Schizosaccharomyces pombe: one gene and its partners. The gene in region 4 interacts genetically with the main gene of each other region. Each region holds a gene or a part of one and is shown on either strand. Other genes may lie near its edges.

Evidence for each region.
Region 1: of mms19 (region 4) and dcr1, changing one suppresses a phenotype caused by changing the other (phenotypic suppression), as found in Schizosaccharomyces pombe (2 studies listed by BioGRID, with this or other methods).
Region 2: mutations in mms19 (region 4) and swd2 together harm fitness more than expected from each alone (negative genetic interaction), as found in Schizosaccharomyces pombe (2 studies listed by BioGRID).
Region 3: mutations in mms19 (region 4) and set3 together harm fitness more than expected from each alone (negative genetic interaction), as found in Schizosaccharomyces pombe (2 studies listed by BioGRID).

What each region holds. Positions count from the first base shown.
Region 1 is NC_003421.2:1,502,932-1,513,142, forward strand, and holds dcr1 (dicer), read right to left. Parts: upstream 7,627-10,211; 5' UTR 7,360-7,626; coding exon 3,235-7,359; 3' UTR 3,215-3,234; coding exon of another isoform or gene 2,131-3,214; 3' UTR 2,069-2,130; downstream 1-2,068. Other genes in the region: Prp19 complex subunit Prp45, read left to right, coding at 1-1,384, 1,433-1,525; septin Spn6, read left to right, coding at 2,010-2,068, 2,131-3,214; ER to Golgi ceramide transport protein, lipocalin superfamily Svf1, read right to left, coding at 8,652-9,771. UniProt on the Schizosaccharomyces pombe protein: Required for G1 arrest and mating in response to nitrogen starvation. Ago1 regulation of cytokinesis and cell cycle checkpoints occurs downstream of dcr1. Required, indirectly, for regulated hyperphosphorylation of cdc2.
Region 2 is NC_003423.3:1,779,738-1,785,477, forward strand, and holds swd2 (Set1C complex subunit Swd2.1), read right to left. Parts: upstream 3,483-5,740; 5' UTR 3,420-3,482; coding exon 3,244-3,419; intron 3,184-3,243; coding exon 2,919-3,183; intron 2,871-2,918; coding exon 2,238-2,870; 3' UTR 2,208-2,237; downstream 1-2,207. Other genes in the region: SPOM_SPBC18H10.05 (WD repeat-containing protein), read left to right, coding at 277-2,037; wbp4 (WW domain-binding protein 4), read left to right, coding at 3,522-3,575, 3,649-4,269; ubiquitin hydrolase Ubp4, read right to left, coding at 4,482-5,740. UniProt on the Schizosaccharomyces pombe protein: The Set1 complex specifically methylates 'Lys-4' of histone H3.
Region 3 is NC_003424.3:5,037,881-5,045,924, forward strand, and holds set3 (putative histone H3 lysine methyltransferase Set3), read right to left. Parts: upstream 4,865-8,044; 5' UTR 4,602-4,864; coding exon 2,022-4,601; 3' UTR 1,666-2,021; downstream 1-1,665. Other genes in the region: etp1 (monooxygenase-ferredoxin fusion protein), read right to left, coding at 1-1,223; ribosome biogenesis protein rlp24, read right to left, coding at 5,917-6,351, 6,599-6,737, 6,788-6,792. UniProt on the Schizosaccharomyces pombe protein: Transcriptional regulator that acts via the formation of large multiprotein complexes that modify and/or remodel the chromatin. Required for both gene activation and repression.
Region 4 is NC_003424.3:3,855,467-3,863,602, reverse strand, and holds mms19 (TFIIH regulator Mms19 ), read right to left. Parts: upstream 5,386-8,136; 5' UTR 5,181-5,385; coding exon 4,712-5,180; exon of another isoform or gene 4,669-4,711; coding exon 4,526-4,668; exon of another isoform or gene 4,480-4,525; coding exon 4,376-4,479; exon of another isoform or gene 4,331-4,375; coding exon 2,039-4,330; exon of another isoform or gene 1,973-2,038; coding exon 1,924-1,972; 3' UTR 1,885-1,923; downstream 1-1,884. Other genes in the region: signal peptidase subunit Spc2, read left to right, coding at 99-602; protein Sil1, read left to right, coding at 868-1,884. UniProt on the Schizosaccharomyces pombe protein: Key component of the cytosolic iron-sulfur protein assembly (CIA) machinery that mediates the incorporation of iron-sulfur cluster into apoproteins specifically involved in DNA metabolism and genomic integrity.

The DNA of each region.
Region 1 (10,211 bases), on a different chromosome or scaffold from region 4:
TCCCGAAATCCATGTAGCACAATATCCTTTGGATATGGGCAGAAAAAGGTCAGCTAAATCTGCTGGTAATACATTGGCTCTACAGGTCACTTCTTCGGGCGCTGTTGACTATAATGCCATTGCTCGACAAGGTCACGAACATGGAGAGTTGGTACAGGCAAGCTTTCGAGATTTGATCCCCTTACGTGCACGACTAGGTGTGGGAGAAATTTCGTTAGAGAAACCGTCTGACGAGCAAAAGCAAGAAGTAGCGAATAAAACTAAGCTTGCCTTACAAAAAATACTTTCCAAACAAATCGCTCAGTCTCAACCTAAAAGTGCTGTGGTACAACAACGTGACGATCCTGTATACATTCGATATACTCCTAGCAATCAAATGGGACAAGCACTTAGCAAACAGAGGATTATCAAAATGGTCACAGCTGAACAGGATCCCATGGAACCACCAAAATTCCGTCACAAAAAGGTTCCTCGTGGACCACCTTCTCCTCCTCCTCCCGTCTTGCATTCTCCTCCACGAAAAGTTTCTGCTCAAGAACAACAAGATTGGCAAATACCTCCGAGTATTTCTAATTGGAAAAATCCGAAAGGCTACACTATTCCATTGGATAAGCGGCTGGCCGCTGATGGTCGTGGTCTTAATGATGTTGAAATCAACGATGGATTTGCCAAATTTTCTGAAGCATTGTACACGGTGGAGCGTCAAGCTCGTGAAGAGGTCCGATATCGTGCCATAATGCGCCAAAAGATGGCTGAAAAGGAAAAGCAGGAAAAGGAGCAACGTTTATTTATGCTTGCTCAAAAAGCAAGGGAAGATCGTATGGGTAGAAATGCGGCTTCTTCGGGTCCTTCACATGCAAAACCCCGCTCTACTTCTGTCTCCTCTGAAGAAAGAAGTCGTTCCAGAGCTGGATCGTTCTCGCATCATTCAGAGTCAGAAAATGAAGATGAGGATTCAGAAGCTTTTCGCCGTCGTCAAGAACTTCGCCGCGAGCGAAGACGCCAAGCTGAAAAGGATCTTCGTCTCAGTCGAATGGGTGCTGAAAAACGTGCTAAGCTTGCTGAAAAAGATCGACCTCGTGATGTCGCTGAAAGGGTTGCTTTAGGACTTTCAAAACCATCAATGTCAAGCGATACAATGATCGATAGTAGATTATTTAATCAGGCTTCTGGCTTAGGATCCGGATTTCAAGACGAAGACAGTTACAATGTGTATGATAAACCGTGGCGGGCGGCACCTTCATCAACGTTATATAGACCGGGTGCTACTTTGTCCCGTCAAGTTGATGCATCTGCAGAATTGGAACGTATTACTAGTGAAAGTCGTTATGATGTACTAGGAAATGCGCATAAAAAGTTCAAAGGATCGGATGAAGTCGTAGAGGTATGTTTCAATATCTTATACTTTTACTTAAATACTAACTTTTCTTAGTCTCGTGCTGGCCCCGTCACTTTCGAGAAAGATATTGCTGATCCTTTTGGTGTAGATACTTTTTTGAATAATGTTTCTTCAAAGAAAACTTAATTCTATTCGATCCTTGACACTGTCAAAGAAAATGTACATTATTGTATGGTTTTATTCATTGGAATATGACTGTCTTAAAAATAAAAAAAAGTACAATTTACGTTTTGTGTTTTTTTTGGATCAAGGCAGTTAATTCAACAGAAGTTCATATTTAGTCTTAAAAATTAATGTTTATTCTTCTAATGATTAAAGAGCTAGTAAATTTGAGCATCGTTTTTATTTGTATTCTTGTTTCAACTCTGGTAAACCAGGATTATGAAAGTATTTTGGTACAAGATGTGAAAAAGAATTAAAAGTCTTCTATGTAGATAATTTAATTTGTATATTTAAAAATTTTTGATGAGGCATATTTATTTATTTATCTGTGCTTTTTATCACTGGACATTCGGTTGTTTGTTTATATTTCGCTGATAAACGCTGTTTGAAACAAACCTGAACCTACTAAAGAGCAAAATACAGATAGTTCGAGAAATAAATTTTTACGATGTCTTTGACTGAAAACCTTCAATTATTATTAAATTTGGATAGTCTACCATCCAAAAGGTATGTTATCGTTACAATCTAGTCATAAATTCATAAATCATTCATTAACAAATATACCACAGAGAAAATTTAATAAAAAGAAAAGAATGTGGTTTAACAATCATGCTTTGCGGAGCCTCAGGTACTGGAAAAACAACGTTCTTCAATACTCTTTTTGCTACTTCTTTGCAACCAGAAAAATCATATGAAACGGCTAAGGAGACCATAGCCAAAAAGACCTTAGAAGTTAAAAAGAATAAGGCCGTAATTGAAGAAGATGGTTTTCATATCAATCTTACGGTGCTCGACACCCCAGGGTTCGGTGATTTCATTGACAATACCAGTTGCTGGAATACGGTTGCAGAATATTTAGACGAACAACACGAAAGGTATCTAATTCATGATCAAAACTCTCTCCGTGTACCAAGGAAAGACACTAGAGTCCACGTTTGTCTCTACTTTATTACGCCAGTTTCGTTTGGAATGCTTCCTTTAGATGTGTTAGCTATGAAGGAGCTATCGACCCATGTAAACCTTGTGCCAGTAATAGCAAAGGCAGATACATTTACAACTCCCGAATTAACACAAATAAAGCAAAAAATTAGAAGGATCCTGGAAGCTCAATCAATCGACGTTTTCCATCCATCAACAGAGTATTCTGATTACGAAACTGCCGAATTACTAGATTCATCCTTACCTTACGCTATCATTTCCAGTGTAAATGAAGTTTGCAAAGACGATGGGGAAAAATCGCAAGGGCGTCGTTACCCATGGGGAACCTCTGAAATATATGAAGAAACACATTGTGATTTTTTAAAATTGAAGAAATTGCTAATTAATAGGCATATGCTCGAGCTTATAAATACAACTGAAACCAACATCTATGAACGATATCGTAGAGAGCAGCTTACGAATCGAAAGAGTGGCATTCCTAAGCTGAAAAAAGAGCATTACGAACGCTTGAACAATGAGAAACGTGCGATTCAACAAAAGATAACACAAATGACTAATGAAACTGAAAGCTTCTTTCAGGCCAAAGAAGAGAAAATGATTGAAACTCGAGATGCTTTGAATTCGGAACTTTCTGAATATCACGAAAGGATCCGTGCTTTGGAGACCCAAATTGAAAGTTTGAAAAGTTACAAGGGCCGCGGTCATAAAAAATGAAATACTGTATATTTCAAGTCTCAAGTCAAACTTTTAACTTTTCCATCTCCTTTTATTTGCTCATCTGATGGCTTTTTCTTACTAAATTTGCAATTACAAGAATACAAAAGTAAGTTAGACTTATCCTCTAACAATTTGAGAAGTCTTTGTTTCATAATATACTTTGCATTGGCAACTTTACGGGATTTGCCGTAAGCAACAATATTCCCGTGGCGGAAGAATGAAAACCCATAATACTTTGTTAAATGGAGTTCAGTATTTAACAATGTTTTGTGACTGGATTTCACCTCCTCGATGACACACTTTGTTCCGAAGTCTTCACATCCCTGATCTTTCAGTAATTGGTATACCTTGTGTTCAATATCTCCTTTAGCCTTAGTATGTGTCGCATCCCCTAACGAATTAAGAAAAAGAGGTAAAACGAATTGTAGAGATTGTAAACTAAACCCAGAATCCAAAAAAATGGCACATATCATAGCTTCTAAAGTATCTGAAATGAACTTTGGTGAATCAATTTCAAACCAGAACCACGGATTCTCTGAAGCAGTCTCCCTGAACGCTTCAATTAATTCTTGATATTCAAATATTGCATCACACATTGCTGCGCTTTCATGTTGGATATATTTGTGCAAATTCAAAACAAAGCCAATGTATGATAGACTCTTGTTACACACATAAAAAGATTTGTAATCAGTTAATTCGCCAGAAGTTGCGTTAGGATACTTTTTATAAAGGTATTGTACGATAATGTAATCCAATACAGCATCACCCAAAAACTCCAACTGTTGATAGTTTTCGTAAATACCTTGCTGAGACATCATGGAAGGATGAATAAATGCCAAATGGAGTAGTTTCTTGTTTTTAAATGAATATCCAATAGTTTCCTCTATATACGAGGAGTAAGGGAATTGAACATTTCTCAGTGAATCCGCATATGTATTTAAATCAAAATAATTGTTCCACTCATCCCAATTGCTGATATCCAGCAGACCAACGCTTAAAGATTTACAGATCTTGAGTGCTGAGTCAAGTCCACTGTCTAAAAGACATGCACCGATACTAGCTTCGACCATATCTGCTATCCTCTTAACCGATAATTTCTGTAAAACGGCGTAGCGGCACTTATCCGATGTGCTTTTCTGAAAACCATATGGACACCAATGACGGATTTCCAAGGGAGTCGAGAGAGCATACTTCGGCAACTCACAATCTATTGCTACTTTATACAAATTACAGTTGCTAATAATTTTCTTTCGATTAAAATGCAGTTGGTACTCTTGAGTATCAGGAAATTTCAAAAAAACTGTAATAGAAGCACCCAATTTTAGAAAGCAGTCTCCGTAAAACTCTAGACGATCGTAATCAAAATTCAATTGTGATTCCGCAGATGTTAAAGCCTGACAAGCAGTGTCAATTTTACAATCAAGTCGAAAGTGTTCGATAAAAGAAGAGGCGACCAATAAGTTTTCAATATGGTACAGTATGGAGGGTATTAGCAAGGCGCTGTTTTTCAAATGTCTAGAGACTGGGAGAATATAGAGGTCATTGATATAAAAACTGCGCACTTGCTGTGATTTGGGAATGGATTTAGCTCTATTGCCCCAAAGTGAATAATTTAATCGTAAAGGAAGTTTCTTACATAAGGCAGAAGGGGCCTTATCTTTCTTTTTAGCAGGAATCATAAATTCAGAATTGACAAATCCCTCAAAAGCATACTGTTCATATATTGACTGTGGATTTACTAATAATACAGTATCGGATTGCAAATCAGTAACATTTTGAACAGGTTCCGGTAATTTAAAAAAATTTTGGATAGTGTCAACATCTATCAGATTTTCTAAGAACCGGTAATCCGTGCATGACAAATTTAAAGGCGCAAGCCAGTAAGGAGTAGGTATTTGTTGCTCAAGAGAAGTAGATAAACCGAATTGAAGTAGATAACGAGTTGATTTTTTTAACAACTCAAGCAGATGAGAATCGATCTTAAAACTATCCTCAATCGTTTCTAAAACAATTTTAACTCGGGGGCCAACAGTCGAATTAAGAATAAAGCTATCAATTTTGGGGAATGAATGAGCTTGTACAAACACTAAGGGATGGAATATATGATTGTCTCCTTCATTAGCATCAGTATAAAGTAAAGAGACGAAGCAACGTGTAATATCTTCAGGAACTTTCATCCAACTTTTTGGTACATAGCGCTCATATGTCTCGATATAACCTTCATCTTTTAGCTCGTCTTCCTCAAGAGTTTCAAGGTCGGCAATTTTTCTTCTAAAATCTAGGGGTTTTAAATGTTTGTCTATAAGACCCATACGAATCAGATCCAAACACATGATGAACGCAGCATTCTGTTTGGCTTTCCTAATTGATTTAGCGGGAGATCCTTGAGCCGCTGGAACTTTGCAGGCTTTTGGCAATTCTACCTCAAAACAATACCAACCTGAAAGACAGGGTTGAGCTGTAAAAGTGGGATAATATCTTGTGTATACGTCTCTTGAAAGTGTGTTACAAAAGTTATAAAGCAGACTAACTGCATACAACCCTGTGAGTAAAGCACCAGTCTCGCCAACTTCATAGACGATATCATCAGTCACACGTTCTCTTTCCTCACATACCAATGAATCAAAAATATTCGAATTGCTGAGCTCTGAAAGGGCAAATTTAAGATTTTTTTCTTCGTGTAGAATGCGTTCATGAATTAACAACTCTTCTGTGTTTAAAAAAATTAGAAACTTTGAAGCCATTGCTCTCGCTCTACCTCGAGATTGGACATACTGGGTGACAGTCCGACAAATATTGAAGCGTATAACTAAGTTACATGATGGTACATCGATACCTTCTTCTGCAACTGCAGTAGCAATTAAAACATTATATTTTCCAGTCTTAAACTTATGAAGGGTATCTTTTTGCCTCCTGAATGTCATAGAAAATTCACCCTGATCGGACGGTCCATGTCCTATAAAAGAATGAGCGCGGATGTTAGGCAGATTAAGAGTTTTCATAAACAAACTTAAAGTAAACGCCGTAGCTTTTCTTTCAACGAAAATAACCGTACGAACGCTATCACTTTTGCGGTAAGTAGCCTTTAACAATTCTAAGAGTTTAAAGACTTTATCAGTAACATCAGTGGAATCAAAAACAGGGATTCTAGGGCCATTGTCTGAATATTTGTTATTTTTCCAATCTTCAACAAATATTTTTAACCGGTCAATTGCCAGTTCCTCGTCATCTGACAACTGCTTCCCTAAAGCCTTTTTTTTTAATCTTTTCGTTTCCACAAAATCAACCAAATATAACCAAACTTGCTCCCCAAACCAAAGACCCATATCTATGGTTTCTGCTAAAGCAGTCTTAACAGCCCGAGAAATTAACTTGCATCCTTGAAGAGTTTCCTCGCATTTCTTGATAATAGAATCCGAGGGTGGCACAACCAACTTATTGGAATACATTACATAGCTTTCTTCGGGAAGACAGAAGTAATCGGCTAGCTCGTTTTCCGAAACCACGTGTGCTTTAGAATCAAATAATTGCTCCCATTGATACAGTCGATGGTATAAGTTTCCTTTTTTTCCAGTGAATGGTGAAGCAGTCATACCAAAAATTCTTGGTAGGGTGAAATGTTTTTTTGACAATACTGCTTTGGCTCTGTGATAAAAATCATTCATGATGCGAGCATACGCATCATTTCCAATTGCATGATGACATTCGTCGAATATAATTAAATTCAAATCATTTATTGAAAGAAAACCTCTTGCAAGAAACAAATAGAACAAATCTGCAGTAATAACAATCACATTATACTTCAATATAATATTAGTCAACAACTGCTCGCTCATTTCTATAGATAATTCGCCATAAAACATGCCAACCTTAGCCGGTAGTTGAGATCGAATGTATTCCGCTTGTTGAAATACCAAAGGGACTTTGTTGACGAGAAAAACTGATATTTTTTTATGTTCAAGATTTGATTCTTGGATTAAAATTTGCTCCTCGAGCTTTTGTTTTATCAACTTCACAGCAAGTAATGTCTTACCAGCGCCCGTTCTCATAACAAGTAAAGTATTTTGCTTGCTCGCGATATTATACACATCTTGTTGATATTTACGTAAAAGTTGAGGAAGTAGAAAACTTGAAATATCCATTCAAAAAGAAAATAAAGGCGGAAGGTTTCATTCAATTGACGAGAAATTTGTCTCTTAAAAAATAATGAATCCTAAGCTATTCAAATAAACATGCATATGTTCATCTTTACCAGAAGAAAAAGAACAATCACACGAGCAGAATACTTCCTATAATTGTTTGTGAGATTGATAAAAACAGACGCAATACTATTGATAGCTTCTAAATTCGTTGTTAAGGGGAATCATTACACTTATAGATTCTGGTGTTTTAAGAGAAAAGTAGGTGGTAGTTTTTTACAACATAAGTTACGCACTTTAATAAAAAATGATTAAACGCCTATGCTTTATTTTAAAATGTTTAAAAAAAAAAAAAAAAAAAAAAGGAAAATTGCATATACATATTATTATTAAATCAATATTATTGAATGAAGAAAGGACTGTACGACTTGCTTGTAAATCCGTGAAATTCAGTTACGTTGAATTACTGGTTTCCAATGCTTTATGCTAGAATGATTCGGTTTTTTAAGAATTATTTACATAATATTTTAATAATAAATACATACATATATATCTGTTTACGCGTTCACTGCCTGCTCTTATCGGAACATAGGAAAACTTATTAAAAAAATATTAGAAAACATTAAACATACAATACTTTTTTATTATAAAGTGGTAAAAGCGAAATTATCAATAATAGAAAAACTGCTTTCGTAGAAAACCAATACAACATTTACAATGAATTAGTTTTTTAAATAAAATAGAAGTTGAGAAGTTGCTAATTAGTATCCACTTAATGATGAAAACAATATTATTTGAAGTCTCTAAAATGAAAAGTATTCAAATTTTTAAAAAATTTTAAAACATTCTCGCTCGTTTACACAGACTGCAGTCTTTCAATAAACATAAGCGAATGCACAATTTTGCCAGATGCCTTGCCCATGTCCATCAGTATAGGTATTAGGATGACAAGATCGATTTAGTACACAAACAAGAGAACGAATGAATTTCAGAGCTTGTAGCACAAGACCATTAACAAGAATCATATTCAATATGAGAGCAGCACAACTATCAAGTTCAGAGTATAAGTGATAAGTCTATATGAAGTTATTTTAATAAAACGAAAAATAGTATGAAAAAAAAATTCGAAGACACGAAATTAAAAACAACAGGACAAAAAAAAGGAAAAAAAGAATACAAAACCAGAGAGTTTAATATAGAAAAGCTCTGAAAAAAAGATGGATGCACGTTCACTCTTTGTTTAAGCCCAAAATGCATCGAATTATTTATGCTTGAATATTTTTGTTAAAAGATGCTTATGAAATAAAAGTAGTCTCATTAAAAAGCGTGGCTTCATCTTCAATAACCTCGTCACCCATCTTCAGTGTAAATTTGACAGGTGAGAAATATTGGTAGATGAAAGGTTTCGTTCCAGAGACTCCATGGACGAAACCCTTAAGCCAAGATGGTATCTCGGCAAGAACGTCGATGCGTTGAAGACGTCTTCCCAAAGGAGCATCGACTGAAAGATGAATATCTTCGGTGTATGTTTCAGCATCCTTTCCGTCCCATTCGTAGGAAATGCGAGTGGGTTCATGCCATTCCGTATCGGGATCGAGTGTGGTCTCAACGTGCTCAATAGTATTATCGACAGTTGCACTAATAATTTTGTCTTTCATAGCGATACCACCAATATTGACAATAGTAGAACCATAGCTAGGGGGTGTCTTGAACTGCATCATGATGGCGGTAAACTTTTTATGCTGCAAGAGGGCAAACTCCCAAGATGAAGCAAGATGGTGGGGTTTGCCATTTTGGAGTGCATGAACAAACATGCCGGGACCAGTGACATCCACAACTCTACCCCTTGCAACGATGCTACCTTCAACACGAGTGCGAGGCCAAAAGGTATGCTTCATGGAAGCCCAGGGCTTACTAGGATCTGTTCCATAAGTAGAATTTCCATCTTCACCGATTTTAAAAGGAGGAGCGTCTTGATGGACAGTTATATCGATGATGGAGTCCATGTTGATGGAGGCACGAATTCGGTAACGCTTTTGGTCTTCCAACACGACAGAGCAATTTTTGGCGACAAAGGAGGTTTTGTCATTTTCAAAGCTAAATTGATCCATGTTGGTAGAAGTCCACAAATCGTTTTCAGGATGCTTCAAATCGAAAATGCGACACGTAGATTGAGCGGTGGTTGTCCAAGAACCCAAGTTGGAATGTATCAATTGAACAAAGCACATATAGTCACCCTCATTTGGCTTGATATAAAAGACTTGCGTTTCCACATGGCTGGAAGAGGGAGTGCTCCATTTGAAGTCGTCGGCTTCAAGCCTATGGAAAGGATTAATGCCCTGAACGGATGCAGTGACGGGTTGGATAGCCTCAGGACCATAAACGGGTTCCGCTGTGCCAGTATAGTAGGATATGCTAAAATCGAGTTAGAAATAATAAAAAACAGTAAAAACAAGTTATTAGAATAGACAACTGAATGTTTTGTAAGACAACACGAAAAAAATGGATTCAAATAGCAGATGTCTGATAGATGAAAAAAACGGAAAAGAAAAAAGAATTTTGTTTTTTGCTCATCGAATTTAAAAAAAAATTTTTAAGACAAAAAAAATAATCGAAAACATGAAGGAAATGTCAGTGAATACATATCGATATCCAATTATTAGTCGATTATATTACCGTTTTTATTCATAGGACAAACACTCGATCCGTTTTTAGGGGTCCATATTTTTACAACCTCTAATCAAGCCAAAGAGTACCAAAAATTGAACATACACATTGTAAATCACTGTATAAATCCATTCTTTTGCGTTTGAATTACAAATCCTCGCTGAAACGAAGAAAAAAGCACTCGGCAG
Region 2 (5,740 bases), on a different chromosome or scaffold from region 4:
TATCTCCATTTTTTTTCCTATCCACCTTTAATCTCCCTTTTTACTCGAATTTCTTTTCTATCTTGCTCAATAAAAAAATATTCCCTCATCATTGATATTATTCGATTGCCCAATCTACTTTGCGTTTTTATATCCCTCCTATTTCGTTCTTCCCTATTCTTTAATTTCCTAATTCCGCTTTGTTTGCATTTTCAAGACCTCCCTATTTGAATTAATTTGGGTATTGTTTGGAAACTTTCATATAAAATAATACCTTAAAAAGAAGTTGCATTGGAGATGCGCGTTTTGGTTGCTGAGACCGGAAGAGAAGATAATGTGTCAGTACATTCTAGAGAAGTGTCTGTGAACGGCAGTGATTCTGGTACAGGCAATGATGCCTACAAACTAGAAACAGACGATGAACATCCGCCTGCCACCCCTGTACGTGGATTATCCACAAGATCTCAAAAAAGACCCTTCAGACCTTTAACAATTCAACAAGATGAAGATGTAGAAAACGACACTGGTATGAACACCGAATATAATGATGACAATTCTAGCTTAGTTAACACACCCCGAGACTCTACTACGTATGCCGAGACGAATTCACCAAACACGGAAAAATTGGCCGGAAGAGATGATGATCGATCTCTACTGAACTTGATTGATCGTGGTGAGATCGATAGTAAAAGACAGAGACATTACGTTCCCGTCCATTGTAAACGAATGCCCAAAAAGGAGATCACACTTAATCAAAAACTTTACGTTTCTCAAGTTATAGGTCCGGCTGATGCTCCAAAGTCAAAAACTATTTTTGGCAAGCGAATTATGCAATGGGAGCCTTCTCAATTTAAAGAATCTGTGTGGGCCTCCGAAATTAGCAAAAGTGGAAAATATCTGGCCACCGCTGGTAAAGATGCAATAATTCGTGTGTGGAAAGTAATTGAAACACCAGAAAGAAGAGAAACTTTACTCAAAGAAGGTCCTCAAAGTTGTGGTCGTTTCTTTACCCCTTCTAGCATTTTTGAACCTGAACCTGTCCTAGAATGTGTAGGTCACAACGCAGAAGTCCTTTCCATTTCATGGAGCAAAAATGATTTTTTATTAACTAGCTCTGCGGATAGAACCGTTAGGCTTTGGCATCCAAAATCAACCAAATCCTTGGCGGTTTTCAGGCACAATGAGATTGTTACATGTGTCGCATTTCACCCGATCGACGATCGTTATTTTGTTTCTGGTTCCCTTGATTGCAAAATTCAGTTATGGTCCATTTTACGCCATAAAATATTGCATTGGACGGAACTTGAATATGTCGTTTCTACTATTTGTTTTTATCCAGACGGTGAGTCGATCGTTGTGGGCATGTTCTACGGATTATGTGCAATATATGAAACTAAAAATTTACAATATGTGTCCTCATGGCTAATTCATCATTCTCCCTCAAGAAATAAAAAATGCCGAGTCACTGGATTACAGTGCGCATCTATCATTCCAAACGATTCAAAATCCGACAACGTTGTTTTAGTATCTACTAATGACAATGCTATCCGGTTATACAACACGGTCACTCACGCTTTAGTGTTGAAACTGAGTGATGCTCATCGTGTTAATGGCAGAGTACTTTCTCGTTTAAGTGAAGACAACAGTTATATCATTAGTGGAAGTGATACTAATGAAGTAGTTTTATGGCATATTCCCAACAAGGTACTCATCAATGCATCAAGAAAACGCTCTGTCATTCTCCATTTGCCCACGGAAACATTCAAGGTTTGTAGTGAGAGACTGACTTCGACCATCATTGCACCAGCAAGGACTGCTGTCGAAGCTAAAGAGTCGGAACATGATCGCAGTTTAATTGCAGAAGGATACAATCTAGTAAAACCTCATAGTCACAGATCATATGGAACACCTCCTGTACATCCGATTGATATAATAATTGCTACCAACATGGCAGGTATGACTATTGTCTTGTGTGTTGATTATGATTTGGGGAATTCCCATCATGGATTTAGAAACTCAAAATTTGGACACTTTGTGAAGCGTTTATTACGAACCTAATCTCGATTCAAAACTAATATTACTTTACCTTTTTTTATTTTGTTTAAGTCTTCTAAGTCATTCAGGTGTCATTTAAAATAGAGGACTCATTTTTTCCCCCTTTTAAATAATAGTTATGAAGTTTTTTTATGAAATTGTTTTTAATAATAGTATAATATAATATTCATTTTTTCGTGGTTTGTTAAGACACAAAAACAATTTTACGTCCAGAAAATTACTCCAGAATGTGCTGTAACTAATTGAGAGAAGCGTGGATTAAAGCGAACAATAGAAGGTGTTTCTGGTAAAAGGTTTTTAGATGTTGAAGAAGGAATGATAGCTAGCGGGTTCTCTGTTGAATGACTATTGCTGGTCGGAGTAGTTGATGCTAGGCCCATTTCGGTGAATGAATTAACAATGTGATCCGAGTTAACAGTTTGTTTCAGTTCTGGTAGTTGATACATGCAAAGATGCTCATTATCATATGAAGTAAAAAGAAATTTACTATCTGGAGACATGCAAGCTGAAGCATAATAAGTCAAATTTCCATCTTGGGTTTTTGTGCTAACCTTTGAAGGAACTCTTAATAATTCACTTCCACTATAAGCGTCTATAACGTAATGAAAATCATTTCCAGTTGTTAGCAATAGATATTTACCATCAGTACTGAATTCCACATTTGCAATGCGGACATGAGGGGGCAGGAATGTTAAAGGAATGTCTTGAAATGGGCGAGCATCAAATGATTTAATGTTATAAAGAGAAATTTTGTATTTTCTTTCACTAACTGAGGCAAAGATTAGTCCTGTAGCATCAAAAGCTGCAACAACGGGTGAACTAACATTGAGCAAACCCTACGTATTCCTAGTTAGTTTGATTATCAGTAATTGTTATACTCATACCTGGCAATTTGGAGACCGAAGGTCCCAAAGGCGAATAGTATTATCTAAAGAAGCGCTTAAAAAAGTTTCATCTGCTGGTGATACATCGATTGAAGTCACTGTTTGCTTATGGCCAGGAAAATATCGAAGATACCGATTTGTCACAACGTCTAAATAACGAACGGTATTGTCTTCCTTTGTGGAAGCATGTATTAATGAATTTGAATGATGAGTAAACCGACCTAAATGTGCTCCGTACTTTTTGCTTGCAAGTGATTTCACAAATCTAGAAGTTCATGGTCAGTTAGCCAAACAGGTTTCAAAAGTGAATTTAAGAAGTACTTACTTTCCAGAAATGCAGTTATACAGTTGTAAAGTATCATCAGTACACGACGCCAAGCACAACTCTCCACTGTCGTCAAAACTGAGAGAGGTAATTTCACCAACAAAATTCTGATTTTTCAGCCATTTTCTTGGTTGCATAGACGACAACAAGTCAAAAGTAATTGAAACTGTTGTCATTACTAAATAACGGTATGCTAAAAGGTGGGTTTCCTGAGAAAAATATATGGGTAAATAAGTTTTAAGTATGTATTTAGTGCGTATCTCCTATTAATATTCAGAATGGCTGATTACTGGAAAAGTATTCCAAAATATTATTGTAAATATTGCCAAATAGTAAGTTTTTTCTATAACATCCAAAAATTATTTCTAAAGTGGTGAAATTAATAGAATCCTACTAACAGTACAGTTCGTGAAAGATACACCATTTGCGCGACGGAGCCATGAGCAAACTTATAAACATCAGGATGCTATTAAAAAAGTAATGGATGATATTCATCGTTCCAACCTTTTAAGGCAGGAACTTGAGAAGAATTTATCTATACCAAAATCAGCTACTGCTACCACTGCTTCAGCGGTGTCATCTGAACTAGCATCGTATGAGAAACCAAAAAAGGAGCATCCAAAATTACGTCCCTCTAAAAAAAAAGCTACTTTGGATGATTGGGATATTCCTACAAGTTCTACGGAGACTGACACCATCTCTACTACTCATACCAGCTATATTCCTACATTGCTAGCAAAGCAAGAAGAAAATGAAGAAACCAAGGAAACAACTACTAATAAAAATGAGTCTCTACCAGGGACCTCTTTGAAAAGAAACAGAGAGATCATCGAAAAAGAAGAAAGATCTTCATTTCATTTTCGGGTAAAACCAAAAAACTTAGATAAAGTACCTAAGTTAGCTGAAAACGAGGGAAACAAATCGCTAGAAAGCAAGGAATCAAATGAAAACAAAGTGGTGTTTAAAAAGAAAAAGTCTGGAAAGTTAAGAACAAAATCTTCCTTAAAAGAATATGATCAATCTTGAAGAAAAAAACCATCTTTGTTTAAAAAAAATTCTAGGATGAAAAAATTTTGTATCCAATTCCTGCATTCTGTTCAACATAACGAGAGTAGCTTTTGTGTTGGGTAATCAGCATTAAGTAAGTATTCATATCGGTTATGAATGCTAAGTTGAACATTTATTCAATAACTATATTTGAGGTTTATTGAAAACATTTTTCCTTTTTTTATTTTGTTTTATTTAACATTTCTTTTCAAAGTCATTTTGGGACACTTATCTTCAAACTCCTCCAACAGACTTGAGCGTTTATAAAAAAGAATGTAGGAAGAGGAGAAATCTTCTCTCAAGTCAGTAATACCGCCCACTGTTCGAACAATTGAGTCATCAATATGGCACCATTCATTATTAAAAAGTACATCAGATATATAATGTCCATTTTCGAGCTGGCCATAATGACAGATAAATGCAAACAGGTTATAATTGCTAGGAATATAACCAATTCCCGATTGGAAACTCGGTGGTACCAGCATTTTACTTGGAATCTGTAAGCTCAATCCAAGTGGTGTATCAATTTTTTTACGACCCATTACGGATATTTTAAATCTCTGAATTTGTATGATCAAATATTCAGGTAGTTTCGAAATCATAATTACTTTTTTTGCCGACCTTTGAACCTTGCACACGGGACAATGCCATCCATCATGCCCTTGCAAGAGTTCAGGAGCTGAAAATTTTAATAAGCATTCTTGTAGGCTTACTACATGGGAGACATCGTCAATCGGTATCGCAAGCGATGTGAAGGGAGCAAAAGTAGTAGATGTGCGGCCACATGTCATACATTGAGTACGACTGCAAAGTTGACCTACAAAATTGTTGACCACAATACTCTTGTTAGACCGGAGATGCAAGTTCCATTCAATGTGTGAAAAGTGGGACAATGGGAGTTCTTCTCTGGCACTTAATTGATCTTCCGTCAACGGTGCTATCGGAGACCGAGATGCATTGGAGTTCAAATCTTCATGAAGTTTATCAAGAAAGAAATTTAAAAATTCTTGAGCATCGCATTGGCCATCGATGGAGAAATCTCTATTCAATGACTGTACAATTTCTAAAAAATTCCTTGGAGATATTGATCTCTGACCATGGTTTAATAAGACACTTTGAAGCAAGGAAAAGAAAGCAGATGTGATTTTTCCACCGGTACCCAATGGATTTTTGGTATTGATATTTTGAAGCAATCCTCTCCCCTGTAACATAGGAATAGTCAAGTCCTTACACGCAAAAAGACATTGCAGGACACAATTCATGTAACAAGTATTACCCAAATTCGTTAAACCTATAGGCTGATAATTTTCATACGATAAAGAACTATCAACTTTCTTAGGGTTCGCCAATTCCATGAAATGAGGATCCAACTTCAACGAACGTAACATCGAGTAAAGCTTGTAAGCCAAAGAAACGTCTTCGAAGTATCTTTCCAAACTGTAACAAATAA
Region 3 (8,044 bases), 1.2 Mb from region 4:
AAAATGTTTCTTTTAGCACGGGAAAAAATAAAAAGACCACATGCAGCAACAAAAGTAGTAATAGCTAAGATACGGTGTTCGAGTTGAACAAGACTTGGGTTGTCAATCATGTTTCTCCATATAAGATCGGACTTGTCGTCTTTCCTACAAAACCTTTGATCAAATAACTCGCTTTTAGATGGAGCAAGTCTTCCTTCGCCCATTTCCGGGAAAGTACAATAAATCATTCCGGCATCCAATCCAGCAACAAAGGCACCGGACAAAAGGGTGATCAGTACCAAGCCAACAAATGAGTTAACACTAGTACGAAATCCTTTCATTTTCTGAACTGAAGAAACCATTGAAGTCAATTGAGATGTGGAGCCACTCTTCATAGATTTCAAAAAGGCATGTCGTTGAAGGATTCCATGCCCAGTCCACACCAAGCCAATATAGAGAGCAACGGCAGCGGCTAAATGAGTAGCCAAGCGATAATGACTAACACGCGGATGAGAACCATCACTGAAGAGCTCTTCTGAAAGACCACTCTTGACCATCCACCAACCGATGACTCCTTGAAGTCCAACGAGTCCCGTAAGGCCGATTAGTCGCTTGCTTAGCCAAGGAGATGCCCTTTTAGTCACAATCATGTATATGGAAGGAAGAAGGATTGTCAAGCCGATTCCTCTACCGAGGACACGATGAAACCACTCCCAGAAAAATATGTTTTTAAACTCATCCACTGTCATATGGCTGTTCAGCTTCTCAAACTCTGGTGATTTTTTGTAAAGCTCAAATTCTTGGTTCCATTGTTCATCAGTAAGAGGAGGAATTACGCCAGTGATGGGCTTCCATTCAGTAATACTTAACCCGGATTCAGTTAGTCTAGTAATGCCACCTACAACAACAATTGCAAGAACAAGAGCAGAAGATCCAAGCAGCCAAAAGGCGACCTTTTTACTCGGAATTTTTTCGGTTTCCTGTAGGATGCCACCTGGTGTAGGAGCGACTGAGTTACTCAGCCGGCGAGCAAAAAACTTTTCAAATGAATTTTTATTAAACTTACAATCATTCAAAAATAAATTCTTAGTCCGTGACAAATTAATTTCATTTAAAACACTCGATCCAGAGAAGCTCCTGCTCATTCTCCAACTTGACCTTCCAAGGCAAGAAATGTCGCAGCCTTTCCGTAAGGGCTGAAGCAGGAACTGTCTCATCAGACCTGATGAACGTGAAATGTTCATTGGTAATTGTTTACTTTTGTTTGCGTTTCGCTTAAAAAAGTAGGTTCATGGAGAGAGAGGAATGGTACCTAACCTCCCGGTTCTATACCACAATAATCTAACGGCGCACTTTCAGAGTCGCTATAAGTAGACAAGCTATATTAACGTAGGCCGTTTGATATATACAAGATCTGAGTGGATCGTCGATGAATAGTTTAATTTGATGCGACAATTCGCTGAAATCTGCACGTAGCATATTTGAATCGATGTTTATATTTATGATACTTAATACTCAAAATGTACTAGCTTCATTTGCGTATCCAAAAAGTTATTTAATCTAGTACATGTCGCATACGGAAATAGCTGACATCTTAAATAGTTAGTTCTTATAATCTTACGAACCGAAACTTCTATATGACAAACATAAATCATTTAACTGCTATAAATTAATATTATTATATTGTACAATGTTCTAAACGTGCAAATTAGGAACAGAAAAATGCAACGACTGAGGGTTCGTTGCTCTGAATCAAAAGAAACTAAAAAAAAAAAAAGGAACTAGAGTTTTCGCCCAAACACTTAGTCATTAAATATTTACAAACGAAGAAGAAAAGAATGCAGAAGCAGGTGACAGTAAAATATGCTCCGAGTACCAATCATCATAATAAAAAAATGAAATGAAAATACATATGAAGGTAAAAAGATGCAGTCATCGTACCAACTTTAGAATCGTGAAAACTTGTTCGTATACCATATCCAATAAAAAAAATCATCCACACATTTATATGGTTTCAAGATTTACAACATCTTCTAGAATTTTTATCGCGTAAATGAAGGGTTAGAAACTGTAGCAGCAGGAACGGTGTGAGGCCTAGCTGTATCGCCATGTGCTTGATTATCCTTCGACTGTTGATGCAGAATGTTTTGTTGACGTCGTTGTCGATACTCAGAAAGAGATAGCTTCTTCGGTGCTGAGGTAGGAAGAGCAGAGGCTGAAGTGTTACTAGGCTTGACTACACTTCCTTGGACCAGATTCGAATTGGGCTTGTTTTCGCTTCTTGAAGTATTTAACGCATTCGAGATATCATCACCGTTGTTGGCTTTGTGGTCCAAAATGTTTGGATTGTTCGTAGGAAATTGGTTGTTTACCAAAGCATGGCGACTCGTTATAACTGGTGCTGGAGCTGTCGGCAAAGGAGGCGTAGTTACAGGAGATTTATCAAACGAAAACCCGACAGGACTAACCGAAGGTGAATGGGATCGAGTGCCATTCTGTCTAGAAAAGTTAACGTCAGAAGACCTTTGAGTGTCGTGAACATGCGATTTATCTTTTACAGTCCTTAACGTATTAAAAAACATGGACCCACTCTTTTCTTTACTCGACGGCTCGAGTTTCAATTTTGAATCTGAATTTCTATGGAAAGAAGGATGGACCTTATGTGGTCTGTCACCTTTAGTCTTAAAGGCTTCCGGCTTCCTTTCGATAGATAGCGATCTTTTATTATAATCAGGTTTGCCATGAAAATCATTTGCAATGCTACGGCGTCTTTTAACTGACGGCAAATGATCAACAGAACCATGCTTTTTGTGGACTGTCGTAATAGTTCCTAATCCTCTTTTGCAAGGAGAAGTTTTGTCCAGCATATCTGGGCTTGTTCGAGGATGTTGTAATGGTGAGGCTGATCGCCTACTTAGTGATTCTCCAACATTAAAAGATGGAGGAGTTGTAGGGGTTATCGAGGATTCTTCAGGTTCCTTTGCTTTTTTCAATGGACCATCGGATTGTAATGCAGCATCGGGTGAAATGGGCGATAAGACGTCTGCAATGCCCACCTTAGAATCAGTGTGTAAATCAGCAATATCAGTTTTCTTGTCCCTATTAGAGGAATCTTCCTCAACAGAGGGTAGTGGAGATTGTAAATCTTTAGTTGGTTTTTTCTCCTTCACAGATGGCTGTAACTTCGGCTCCATGACTACATCGATTCCTACACTTTCTGTGGGTAATGACTTAACAGCAGGCCATTTTTGCAAAATACTAAGACGGTACTTATCTAACCAAAACTCTTTCAAGGATTTGGCATAGACCGATGTGGGGTTTGAAGGTTGCGGTAATGATTCAGCAGGGCTAGGGGTAGAAGGGGTTGAGGAAGGTGTCAGAGACAAACGGTCTTTTGCTACACTGACACGGTTTGCAGTAGAAGCGCGGCGGGCCGCTTTAATATATTTAGTAACTCTGGAAAAAACACAGTTTTTCTTATCCTGTGAGGCACATTCGTTAAACGACAGGAAGGTAGAAAGCACTTCTGAAAGTAATTCCAACTCTTCCATATTGAAGGAGGGTCGCGACATACCAGGCGCAAACTGGCGAAATGGATGGGAAATATCGAGAGTCCAATCCCCAATAATCTCTGTTTCCGGAGCTATGTGAGTAGTTGAATAGAGGATAAATCGAGGAACACTGTTAGACCCATTCATGTAAACACTTGAAACGACGGAGTTTGACTGACAACCTTTACGCGCAAACCTCGCTTTTGAACCAGCAACCCGTGAGTCAACAACAAGCTGAGAATTTGAGTCAAAAAAGACATGTGGCTTAGGAGCCCCCAAAATATTGTACTGGTTTTTGGGATCACTTTTGTATTCATTCTGCGTACAAACCCTTCCTTTCACCTCCATAATGGGTGTATTTGGAGGAATTTCGCAAGTTGACACCAAACCAAAGCGACTACAACAAAACTTTGAAGATGATATAGGTACGACTTGGCATCCATCCATTAAAACTTCGGATTCATCTAAATTCTTTAAATCCAAATTCTTAGAATACTCAAGCGCAGATGCAGAAAAGGTGTTTGATTCCAAAGGGACGTATTCCAAGTGAAACGAATACACATATTCGTTAGAAGCCTCGGTGATTGGAGCCTCTGGTGGGTTGTTAAGGTGGTTGGATCTTCGTCTGCGATTCTGAGAATGTGGAGCATGAGCATTGGGCAATGTTGCACCAGTCACACTGTTACGATAAGACCCCGAGTTCGAAGAGTTGGTAGACTGTGAAAATAAAGCGCCATTAGCGCCTGTGTTATTGCCTTGTCTCGGTGACGCAGAGTGTGTAGGACTAGCACCATTTTTGCCAAAACTAGTTCTTCTCTTGTTGTTGGAAGAACGGGATCGCGATAATATCCTAGACTGCTCTTCTTCGCGCTGTAACCTAGCTAGTTGAATTTTATGCGCCTTGTCGGCATCGATAGGACGAGGTTGGCATTGTTCACAAAAATATTTTTCAGGAACATTATTTGCATCTATGTTTACACAAACGGCGTGTTGCCATACCTCGCAACTTTCGCATTGGATGGTGAATCCGTCATCATCCTCGAATGGACAAACGCATCGTATTTTCCACATGCTAACTTAACCAAAGAGAAAACGATCAACTTATAACAAAGTAAAGAAGTATTTCATAAACGCTAATTTCTGTACAGGAGCAATTTAACCTTGGAAATTACTGCTTTCTTATGAAAGCAAAGATTTTAGCCCCAACTATACCAATGGCTATCTCGATTATCTGAACTCTCCTAAAACTAGGAATCTAGTATATAAATACTCGAAAAACCATGTAAGTTGAACAAATACTCTGTTTTCAATTTGCATACGCGATTTTGGTAGTTGATACGACGTCGCGATTATTCCGCTCTTCAACATTTCCATCCACCGAGTGTAAACACACGTCCCATAAACCACGTTTCCGCAGTCTAACGTCTCCTCGGTAAAAACAAAGAGAAGAAGATGTTGAAGAATAGTTCATTTCTCTATGAAACTTCTCATTTTACATATTTTAGAAGGTAATAAAACTGTCAAGGAGTTTTTAATGAGTCTTGCTAAGAAACCATTTTGAAAAAAAAAAATCATCTACTAAGACAATGAGTTGAGATAAACGGCAGGTGCAATGTGTCAGTAGTTAGCTAATGTATGGTGTTAGTGAGTGTGCGCAAGCAATCGAAAACGTCAATAACGGACTCGCAACTCTAAAGAATTAACAACCTTTAGCATTGGACTGTAGGGTTTAAACAGCTTTACAAGGAGAGGGATCTGTTTTCATGAGTTCCACAGTGATATGAGACTTGAATAGGCTTGTCAACTATAGAGAAATGTATATGCAAGGAAACCAGCATAAATGACAAAGTCTTTACTGTTTTATGACTTACTAAATATACCTCATGGAGAATTGAATCCAAATAATGAAGCAATGTTCTATCGTTCTAGTAGAATTTTACATTTCGAAGAGGCATTTGTGATAAACGAAACTAATAATATAAACCAATTTATTCCTAAACAACCATTTTTCAAACTGTTAGACTGTTGTATCTTGTACAAGCTCCAAACTGAAGATAGGTTCGTTTACAAGTATGTATACACGAAAATCCATTATTAACCATATTAATCTGCACGTAGCATGCAAGTCCAAAGAAGTAACCAAACGAGAAGAGAAGCCGAAACCAAATGCCAACTTTAGATATGCAAGATAAATTTTAAAAAACACGTTTTCGAAGTGTCTAAAGAGTTCGAAAGTGTAAGAAAACCACTCCCCAAAAATGTCTTCTCTTCTACTATTTTGTAAATTTGAAAGGAATAAAACAATAAAATAAAATAAAATAAAAGAACGAAGCGGGACGCAACCAACGGAAGATCGAGAGTTACATTTTTGTAGGAAGAAGAGTGTTTAGTCCATTTGCATGGCTGAAGATGAGTTTCGAGATTTCTTGTTTTTGCGTTTTTTGGCGAGGACGGGAATCTTGACAGGTTCTGCAACTTCTTCTTCCATGGTATACTCCTCGTCGGAAACAATTTGGGGTTCTTGTACCTCAGCAGTTTCAACCTCACCTTCGGGTTCGGTAAATTGAGGAACATTTTGAGCAATGAGTTTTTGAGCTTCTTGAAGCTCTTGGGCACGTTTGCCAGCCAATCTCTTTTTGTAAAACAGACGCTCTCTCTTGGCATGAACTTGGCTAACCCGTTTCATGGCATTCAAAGTAGTTGCAATGACATTACGGTCGTAACGAACAGGAACATTTCTACGAGCTGCGGTAACTGCGAGAGCTGTGTCATAAACCATTTCCTTTCCATGTGCCTTACGGTACGCTTTGGTCCAAGCAACCTAGACATTGAAGTTAGTATACATACATATAGGTGGAAGCAAAACATTTAAAAAAACAATAGAAAACTTTCTTCGTTCATGGGCATATAAAGGAAAAAGTACACCATTTAAGGTAGAATTTGAAGAAGAAAAGTATCATTTCAAAACAAGGCAACAGAAAAAAATTTTTCCTCTTTCAAAATCAATCATCTTCCTCAACCAAGTCTGTATAACGTTTTTGCATTCCTTTATTATAAAAAAAACATACCTTACGAGGATTGCGCTTCATTTTGAAGTTCTTATGGCACTTGCTGCGACAGAAACGAAAGACCTTGGAGTCATTTCTAACAAACATTATTCCATGTCCTGGGTAAACAGGACCCGAGCAGAAATAGCAAGTATGTACCCTAAATTTCCGTTAGTAATAAATACTTTGAAGGCATTTAGCTCTACAAACCTCATATTCCCCCTAAATTCTTTCCCGTCCTTGTATGTTCAAGTTGGCTAAGAGCAGGTAAAAATTCGCGCTCCCTACAACGCACATATTTGAGATGCGAGCTTCTACTTAAGCTGCGTTTTGCGAATTCCAAATATGCCTTATCTAATTTATGATATATCGTTAGGTTGCGTTATTTAATGAAATACCATCTCGGTGAAGTTTCGAGTGAATGGTCTCGGACGCAATCTTAGGAACCTATTAATAATAAATTTTATCTTCAATTTTTGTTAACTCATATCGCTTCTTTATCAAAGGCGTGTCTACGCCAAAAAAAATAAATACATAATATTACCGAGGTTAATTGCTTTTAAAAACACAATCCCTCTATGCATATGCAGTTTACTGGATTGCAATAGGATACATAGACGCACGATCTTAAAAGGTATTTTACAGTATTCACGATATTTGAGCTTTTGAAAAAACGATCCCGCCAGGAGTCGAACCTGGAATCTCTTGATCCGTAGTCAAGCGCCTTAACCATTGGGCCACGAGACCTTGTTATCATTACAAATAAAATATACTATTTATTATACAAGTGTGTTTTACTTAGTCAAATTGAATAAGTCTAGTATTACAAAACAAGAAGAGTCTTTAGTTTTCAAGTGATTTTTGAGAAAATGTAATTGTTTTTTTTTTTTTCCTTTTTTTATTAAATTTTATCTATTTTTCGTACTTACCGATATTTTTTACTTCGTTTTAAATTTTTTAGTTTAGTTATTTACCTTTTCTCCATCAAGACCATACATGATAACAATATTATGTGTACCATAAGTTAAAGAATATTTATTATAATTACTTTTTTTAATAAAATGAATGTACAGGTTATTTTTTTACATATTTAGTTTTTATAAACATTATATCGAATATTTGTGGCAAAGACCCACAAGACAAATGAATGAAGAGAATCACAAGTAAAATAAAAATCGATAAACTGGTTTCCAAAACCATAGTTAAAAAATTTTTATGTCATTATCGTTATATCTAAAACAAATTATCGTATACGACAGTATCCAAATACATCTTCATCTGAAGATCTATTACAAAACGACCCTCAAGGAGGGCATCAATAATACTGCTATTGTACTTTGTCTTTTCTTTTTTTTAAATTCCTTTGCGTTTAAAAGAATATGTCTTTAACTAGATTCTAACATACACCATTATACATTCGTAAAACTGAACTTCAACCTAACTGAATAAACGTCTATCCAGCAAAAG
Region 4 (8,136 bases):
TTAAAAAATCATCATGCCATCGTATCAACGAAACCGCATATCTGATCATCAGTAACTACAGCCTTGCTTCCTCTACCATAATTAAGCTAATAGTAAAAATGCCAAAATATAACGTTTCAGATTTCAAATCTAAATTTGATAAAGAATTAACAAACCATTTTAACAAAAATGGTTATAAGCAATCCTTTGTATTTGAAGATATTCGTTTGCTGATCGCAATAGCTTGCATTATACCCGCCGGCCTCGCATTTGGCATTGAGTATGTTTATGGTTTTGGTGTTTTAAAATCTTACTTAAAGTATCTTTTACCTTTATATTTCCTAGCTTCCTGCTTGCTCACATTTTGGTCTTCTGTAGTCAAGGGTAGTACTGTTTATGTTGCTACGAAAAAAGAAAGACACATCAAAATTTCTGCGGATACCTTTTTACCTTTGAAAAATAAGCCTCTAATCACTACTAAATTTACCGTACTCAAAAACAGAAATGCTGTTCAACTTGAATGGTCGGTTCCTGTTGCTCACATTTTTGAAGAAGATGGCCAAATATCAAGTGCAACTTTTGAGGCGGAAATTTCAAAGTACTTGTCTCAAATTGAAAACTGATTGAGCTCAATTTTTTTAATCAATTCTCAATTTGAGTTGTTGCCAAAAAGCGAAATACTCAATTACTACATTTTCGTTAGAAGGCTTCCATGCCTGCCACAACGTCCGTATCGTATTCTTATTTTTTAACATGAATTTTATTGCTACGTTTTCCATTTACCAGCGGCAATTGCCTAATCATGCTATGGATTTTTTTTTCTTGAAATCTATCCTACCATAAACCACTCTCTAACAGGAGTGAAAAAATTGGAGATTAATCGGTTCAATGTTTTCGATTCTGGGAAACTCGTCTAAAAAGAAAAGAAATACTCAAATTTACAGAATTTTTTTTACTTTAACATTCTCTTTGTCGAATCTATTTCTTGCAATATGTTACCTTTTTTTGAATGTGAGGACTGTAAGCTCAGATTCATCTGTTTCACTTTACGATAGACAGTTGTTCGATCAGTCATCTTCTGTAATTTTAAATCCTGATACTTCAGACCCAAGCATTGTGTTGTCGTCTTTAGAAACAATGCGTGATTTGGCTCATGATATAAAATTTGGTCAGGATGTACTTGAACAGCCTCTGTGCGATCAACTTTTTGTTTTGATGGATGGGAAAGACTATCCAAATACGATTCGTTCAATGTCGTCTGTTGTTTTGGCATCAGCGCTTAGCAATAATTTCATAGCTCAGAAAAAGGCTTTAGAAATGAATATTATGCCAAAAATTGTGAACACTTTACGGCAGGAAAACCACCCAGTTACATTACTGAAGAAACTTTTCCTATTAAGTAAATCTGTCCAATCTTTTCCTTTATCTGAGGCTTTCATTAGTAAAGATTTAGGATCGGCTATTCTTCTTCAGTTGTATGATTTTTGGTCGAGAAACAGCCATATTGATATTCCTTCTGCTTTTCAGGAGAAACTGCTAAGTAGGTTGTCCATCATCTTTGAAAATATTGCTCGTTCGTTGGAAAATGTCAATTTTAGCAAAGCTTCTAAAGTTATCCCAATAGAGTGGGTATTTTCGACTTGGTGTAGCATCTTTCAAAAGTACTTGATGAATAATTGGCATTTACGCTCAATTTCAACGCTCGAGGTTCTACTTAACACCGTATCAACAATTCAAAGTGTTAGTGAGAGTTGTCCCGAAGTTAACTTTTATGAATGGTTAAACGATAAAAATTTGGCGTACAAAAATAAATTAATTTATCAAGATCCAGATCTTGCTACTGAATTTAATTTAATTATAAAAGAAGCTTTATCTCTTCCTTGGCCTAAAAAATACAATATTTAACGTTTTTATTTTTCAAAAATGACTTATCAAAATCTCTCTTTATATATACCACTTATGACGAGTTCGACTTGCTTCAGTCCTTACAACCCTATATTATTCATTAGCATTTTGTAGTTAACAGTTATTCTTTTCACTAAAAATGAATGGTTCTTACCTTTTAGGATCATCCAAGCATGGTATGAGTCCACGAATTACTTTATCTCTAAATAGTTGTAAATTCGTGGTAGGAGTAAACTCTGGCAGACTTCCAAGACACTTAAGGGCTAAAAGACGAACAACAGTTGGATTATTCATATCCTTAGGGATTGCCAAAAGCGAAGGAATTAAAGTATCAAGATATTCCGTCAATAATGAAGTCAATTCTTTAACCGAAGTATGTATAACGTTCAACGTCGAAAGTTTAACACTAATATCAGACAGTGAAAGACATTGAAGTAGAAGTGGAAGGATAGATGGCATATCTGGAATTACAATTTCTTTTGGCACATTTCCTATCACATTAGAAAGAAGCATTAAATACAAAGACTTTTCTCCTCCAGTAGCAGTTGAAATGTGTTCTAAAATCTTAGGACTAACACTAGCGTAAAAACGTTGTTTGTATAACAGCTTTTCGACATATGAATTCTCCTTGGACAACGCAGGATCGTCTTTGATAATTATTGAAAGTGCCTTGACCGAAGAATCTCCGACATTTTGTAAATTCAAAGTATCCAATAATTTAAAAGCCAAAGGAATGCCCTCGCTATGCTTTCTAGAGACCAAAGCTTTGTCAACCCACGCCAGCACATCGAGTGCAGCTTCAGATTCCTTTGGAGTTCCAGTATAAACTTTATCCCACAAAGACGTGACTCCCTTCGAAGATATAAAACTTGATATATCTTCGTCTTTTTCACATTTGTTAATAAGCGAGGATATGAGACGTAAAGCGCTAATTTTAACGCCAGGACTTTCCGTAACAAAAACAACATTTATGAGTAAATTCAACAACTCAATATTCAACTTTTCGATAAAATGTAATTTTTTACTCAATCCATTAAGACCACCCTGTAATAATACCACTAAATTTAAAAATTTCTGATCACTTAAAGATGCTGCAAGCGTAAATCTTTCTGCAGCTTTTTCACAACCTTCAGTTTCAATTAAGTCGGAATTGGAATTCTCCATATATAATTTCCATAATTGACCAACAAACTTTTCTTGAAATTCAAAATGGTTTACTCTCACTATCTCATTTATTGTCTGTGATACATAAATAAGGCATCTCACATTCATTGACTCGCAATTAGCGAAACAAAGGGTAAAAAGTTGCTTCAGTAGTTCTTCAAAAAAGAATGGAATCTCTTGTTCATTTCGATCATTTCTTTCCTTAAAGGCAACGGATAAACTTTGAACAATTGATTCGACAAGATCAACACTCATTTCCTTGGATTTAAATTGATCTTTCAACATCTCAACAAGTCTGATGACAAGGGCCTTAAACAAACTCCTTTCTTCAGATATTGAGACTAGTACCGATAAATATTGCTTAAAAGTTTCTTCAGAAGATGACTTAGCAGTAACATCATCAGTTAATTTTGAAAATGCGAAAGGAAATGAAGTCAAAAGTAAAAAGTCGGGCTTTAGTAACCCTAAATCCTTCAAACATTCTGTTGCCTTTTTCTTAATAGGATCGGAAAAGTCAAATGCTATGTCATCCAAAAATTGAAGTACCATGGTTAATTCACTCTCTGTTAGGAAGTTCTTGATCGAAGCCATTAAAAAAATAACCTTTAAAGCCAACATGCGTATTTCAGTTTCATCTTTGGCTGTTCCCATCAAGGAGCCTGATACAAAACTAAGTTGCTTGTCTTTGTAAACAAGTAGCGGGTTGTCAATATCAGCCTGGTTTTTGCTTCTCCACTTTCCGTATAAAAGTACCAAACATTTATAGACGTATTCCAAAAAAACTAGCATCCCTTTTTGTTTCTCCAATGGTTCATTTACCATTGGTAGATCGAGAACACTGGGTAAAAAATTGCATGAACAATAATTGAATGTTTCCACAGAGATAGAAGCCAAGGAAGCAAATACAGCTGCACAAGATCCGCAAGATTTAACATTAACATCTTCGAGTAAACGCTGTGATAATTGGATCAAAATCATATCCACAAACTCTGTGAACGAAGATGAAAACCCTTCCTCTTTATAAAATTTACTAGCTAAAGTATTGAGTGCACCAAGCGCCAAATTTTGAAGTTCAGCATCTGTCGAATTTAGTATTTCTTGCTTAATAGATTCCCAAAAGTCTTTAGCAGACCATAAATAAGCACCCACGCGCCAAGTTTTGCAAGCTTCTATATAAATGTTTAATGCATCGATTTTTATGCGAACAGTTGAAGCCTTCAGCCTTTCAAATAAAGCAGGAAGAAGTAATTTTGAAAACGCGTCGTTAGCAACCAAGGTTTCTCTACAAAGGACGGTTAGCAATAGTTCACATGTCATGATGCCTTACCGGAGAGCTATTTTAAGATCGTCGCTAGTAATAGCCAAATTGGTGGCATCAGGCGGAGCACGGAAAGTGATCGGGAAATAACAATAAGTGATATCAAAGAATTGCTACATGTAAGTAATTTCATTAGGCGATTAACAATGAGATCCATACCTGTTCAAATCCGTCAATGGGGAATGTAGAAAGTATTTTTTTAAGCATAGAAAAGACCAGCATAAGATTACGAGGGTCTTTCTCACCAGCAAAAGTTGAACAAATTCCAGAGAAGAAAGCATCGCGAGTTTGTGAAGAGATGACTGAGAACTAAGTTAATTGATGACTCTCCAAAAAGATCCTTACAGAAAAGATAATTATCTATAATGGTTTCAAATACTTTTAAAATGTTTAAACGAGTTGCTTGAGCATATTTTGGCATGTCAGTGGAACTGAAGAGAGCCTTACAAACATCCACAATCTTTTGAGCAGGGAAGTTTTGCATGTTTAGAAGAGCTCCAATACCTAACGCATTCTCCTTCATTGTAACTTCATCATCCAAACGACTCAAGTAAAACTGAAGAAGTACAGATACATGTTTCGCAGGAAGTCTATCTTTAGGAAGCTCACCTAAAGTTTGTGACAGTAATAAAACTGCTTTTGCTCTAACAGAGATATTGTTGTCAGTTAAATACTCTCCAATTGAAGTAACCAAATCGACAATCCCCATTCTGTCAGTGACAATTTCTTCGACAATTCGATCTACAACGTCGTTTGCCTCATCCTGACTTCTATCAATAGAAAATAAATATAAAGCCACTAAATTCGAGCTCATCTTCCTCAAATTTAATATGTACTATTATGCTAACAATTTTCTATACAATAAACACTATAAGAAAAAACAGAATTTCAAAAATTGAGAAGCAGAGATTAGAAACCTTGTCCTCTTTTTCGAAGCTGACTTTCTTCTAGCTAGTAGGTAGACGGCACTCTTCCTCAGTAGATCGTTGAAACGTCTCTCAGAAAATGTGGTTAACAATGGCAAATTGCAAAATGTCATTTGCTATGTATGCTTTCTTTACCGAAGCGAAGTTAAACTAATTAAAGTATTTAGATAATCTGATAAGAATTTGTGTAAATTAAATTGCTTAAATCCATGAATTAAAGAAATTAGAAGAAAGATCGGATATTATTTTCTTTTTTTAAAAATTTGTTTCTTTTTAGCAAATCTCTACTTCAAGATTTTACAATCATACACAAAAACCTTTATTCCATCGTTATATATAGTCACTACATATTAACGATCCTTAAACCACTGCGCTATGTATTCCCTCTCTTACCAAAATTTGAACCGACAGCAAAGTAAAAAGAGGATGCAAAGTTTTAACATTTACTTGAGAAATTGATCAATAAGCATATAAGTATTTAATATAATTATCATCTTAAATTCTCTGTTAGTCCTGGTATGGAAGTTTCGGAGACAGACGAACATCTTACTCGTTTAAACCAGGCTCGAGATATTGTTAAAACTGATCAAAGCCTTTTTCCAGAAATCGTGAGAAACATTCTTTCTGTGGCAAACTATTCTGATATAAGGTATAAAAAATGGATGGCAAATTTCCTCTGGTTTGGATTTTCGAGCAAAAATGTTAAATTTGAGCAGAAATTGGATTTAGCTGTAACTTGTCTAGATACAATTGTTTCTCTGTACGCAGTAGATAATGAAGAAGTTAAAAAAGACGTTATATCTTGTTCTTGCACAATCTACCCACTAGTATTTCTGCACTGTTGTACTTCACCTAACGATTCATCTACCTGGGACACTTTAACGAAGCTAAAAAACGAAATCATTAATGACTTTGACAAAGGGAACAAGCCTCTTTTAATTTCTTGTATTAAATTTATTTCTTGTGTAATTTTAACGCAAGTGCCTGGGATTCGAGATCCCCGTCTTGTAACTAAATCGGACGTGTCTCTTTCTAAGGTTCCCACACATCATCCTTTTATCAATTCAAATATCCTCAGAATAGAAGCAAATGACTTAATTGAAAAAATATTTTCCATCCTTTTCTCGGATTCTTTGAATGTCCTTTACATTACTAGCGTTTTGAATATCTTACCGGTTTTGGTGAAGCGACGGAAGGAACTAGCACCAAAAATCATAGGAAGCTTGTTAGAATTTCATCTTCCGAATCCAAAAGATGAAATTGAGCTGTCGAACGAAAGCAAGTTAGCTATACGGTGTATTGAAAAAAATCTAAAACTTATTTTACTTCATTTAGCTAAGAGTACAGGTGCATCTTCTTCTTCCGTCGAAAAAATTCACGCTTATCTTTCCGGACAAATTTATCATACCAAAGTCGATGAAAGTTTGAAGAAACGGCAATATGAGGGAAATATTAGTGCTGCCTCTAAGCGTGTTAAGTCTTCTGCTGTACAAAGTCTTGTAGAAAGAATGCAACCCCAACTTAGCTCTCACGATGGTTTGCAAAATAATCCCTTAATCAGCATATTTGCTTCACAAACTGCTATAAATCCTCTTGCAAATTTTGATGTAACTTCAATTCCGGTTGAAGTGGCTACTGAAATTGTACTTACTTCTCTTCTTAAGATAGACAAAAACTACTTTCATCAGCAAATTAATATGTTGAGAGAGAGAGTGCGCTCTCTCTCTGAGCCTGAATCCCTTGGTCTTGATCAACAAGTTGATGAAGACGAGGACGAGGATTATGAACCGCCTGAGGTAGATGTTCAGACTATCAATGCTAGTGTAGAACGTGAAGCAGCTCGACTAGAGGGAAGTGCTCCCTCCAATGTCGTTACTGATGCGTTTGAATTACCCACTCCAGATTCGCTGTCCCCGATGGCTATTCTAGAATACTTTCACGGTGCCTTATCCAGATTATTTGATTATGCTCCTCAATTTGAAAGAAGCATAGTTTCTTCTTCTAACCTTCAAAATTTAACGTTGGAAAATGTGGATAATACGGTATGGGATAAGCGTCACTGGGCAATTCTCTTACCACGACTTTGTACGCGAGGCTTATTGAATTATCAGCCTGTAACGTCTGGTGAGGAATCTGGAGATGCTTCTTTCACTTTGTCTTCATTTGTTCGAGGGCAGCTTTTTACTTACGTTGCATCTAACTGGCGTTCCAGTACAAATTTAATATTGAACTGGTTATCCGAGGAATGGTATAATGATCGACTAATGCTTGAAAATCCGGATTGTCATGAATATGAGGATGTTAAGTGGGAAGGTCCACAATATGAAAAATGGGCCCTTAAAGTAATAGACAGCATTTTACCATACTTAGAGGCAAAAGATAAAGTTTTTATGATATTTATGTCTGAATTGCCAGAACTCACCGATGCTATAGTTGACAAAATTAAATTTGTATGTCTTGATCCCGATAAGACGAAGCTCGGTTTCATGACTTTTCAGTATTTAATAATGTTTCGACTAACCTGTACGTGAAAAATGCCTTGATATTCTTGAGACGATGTGGAAAGAGAATGTAGATGTTAAAGCTTCCGCCGCAAAGCTTTTGAATCGTTGGCGACCGTCGTTTTTGGAGTCTGTGAAATCAGAGGAAACGAAAGAGCCTTCCGCTACAGATAACACTTCCTAGAAAGCTTGTTTTTCCTGGGTCGCAGTGGGATTTCATTGGAAAGCCAAGGAGAAATAAAAGCTAAATGTTTAATGCACCATCTTTTGATAAAATAAAGTTCTGTTCATACCTAGACAGAAAAAATGTATCTGTGGCTAATCACCACTCTGTTTATTGGAG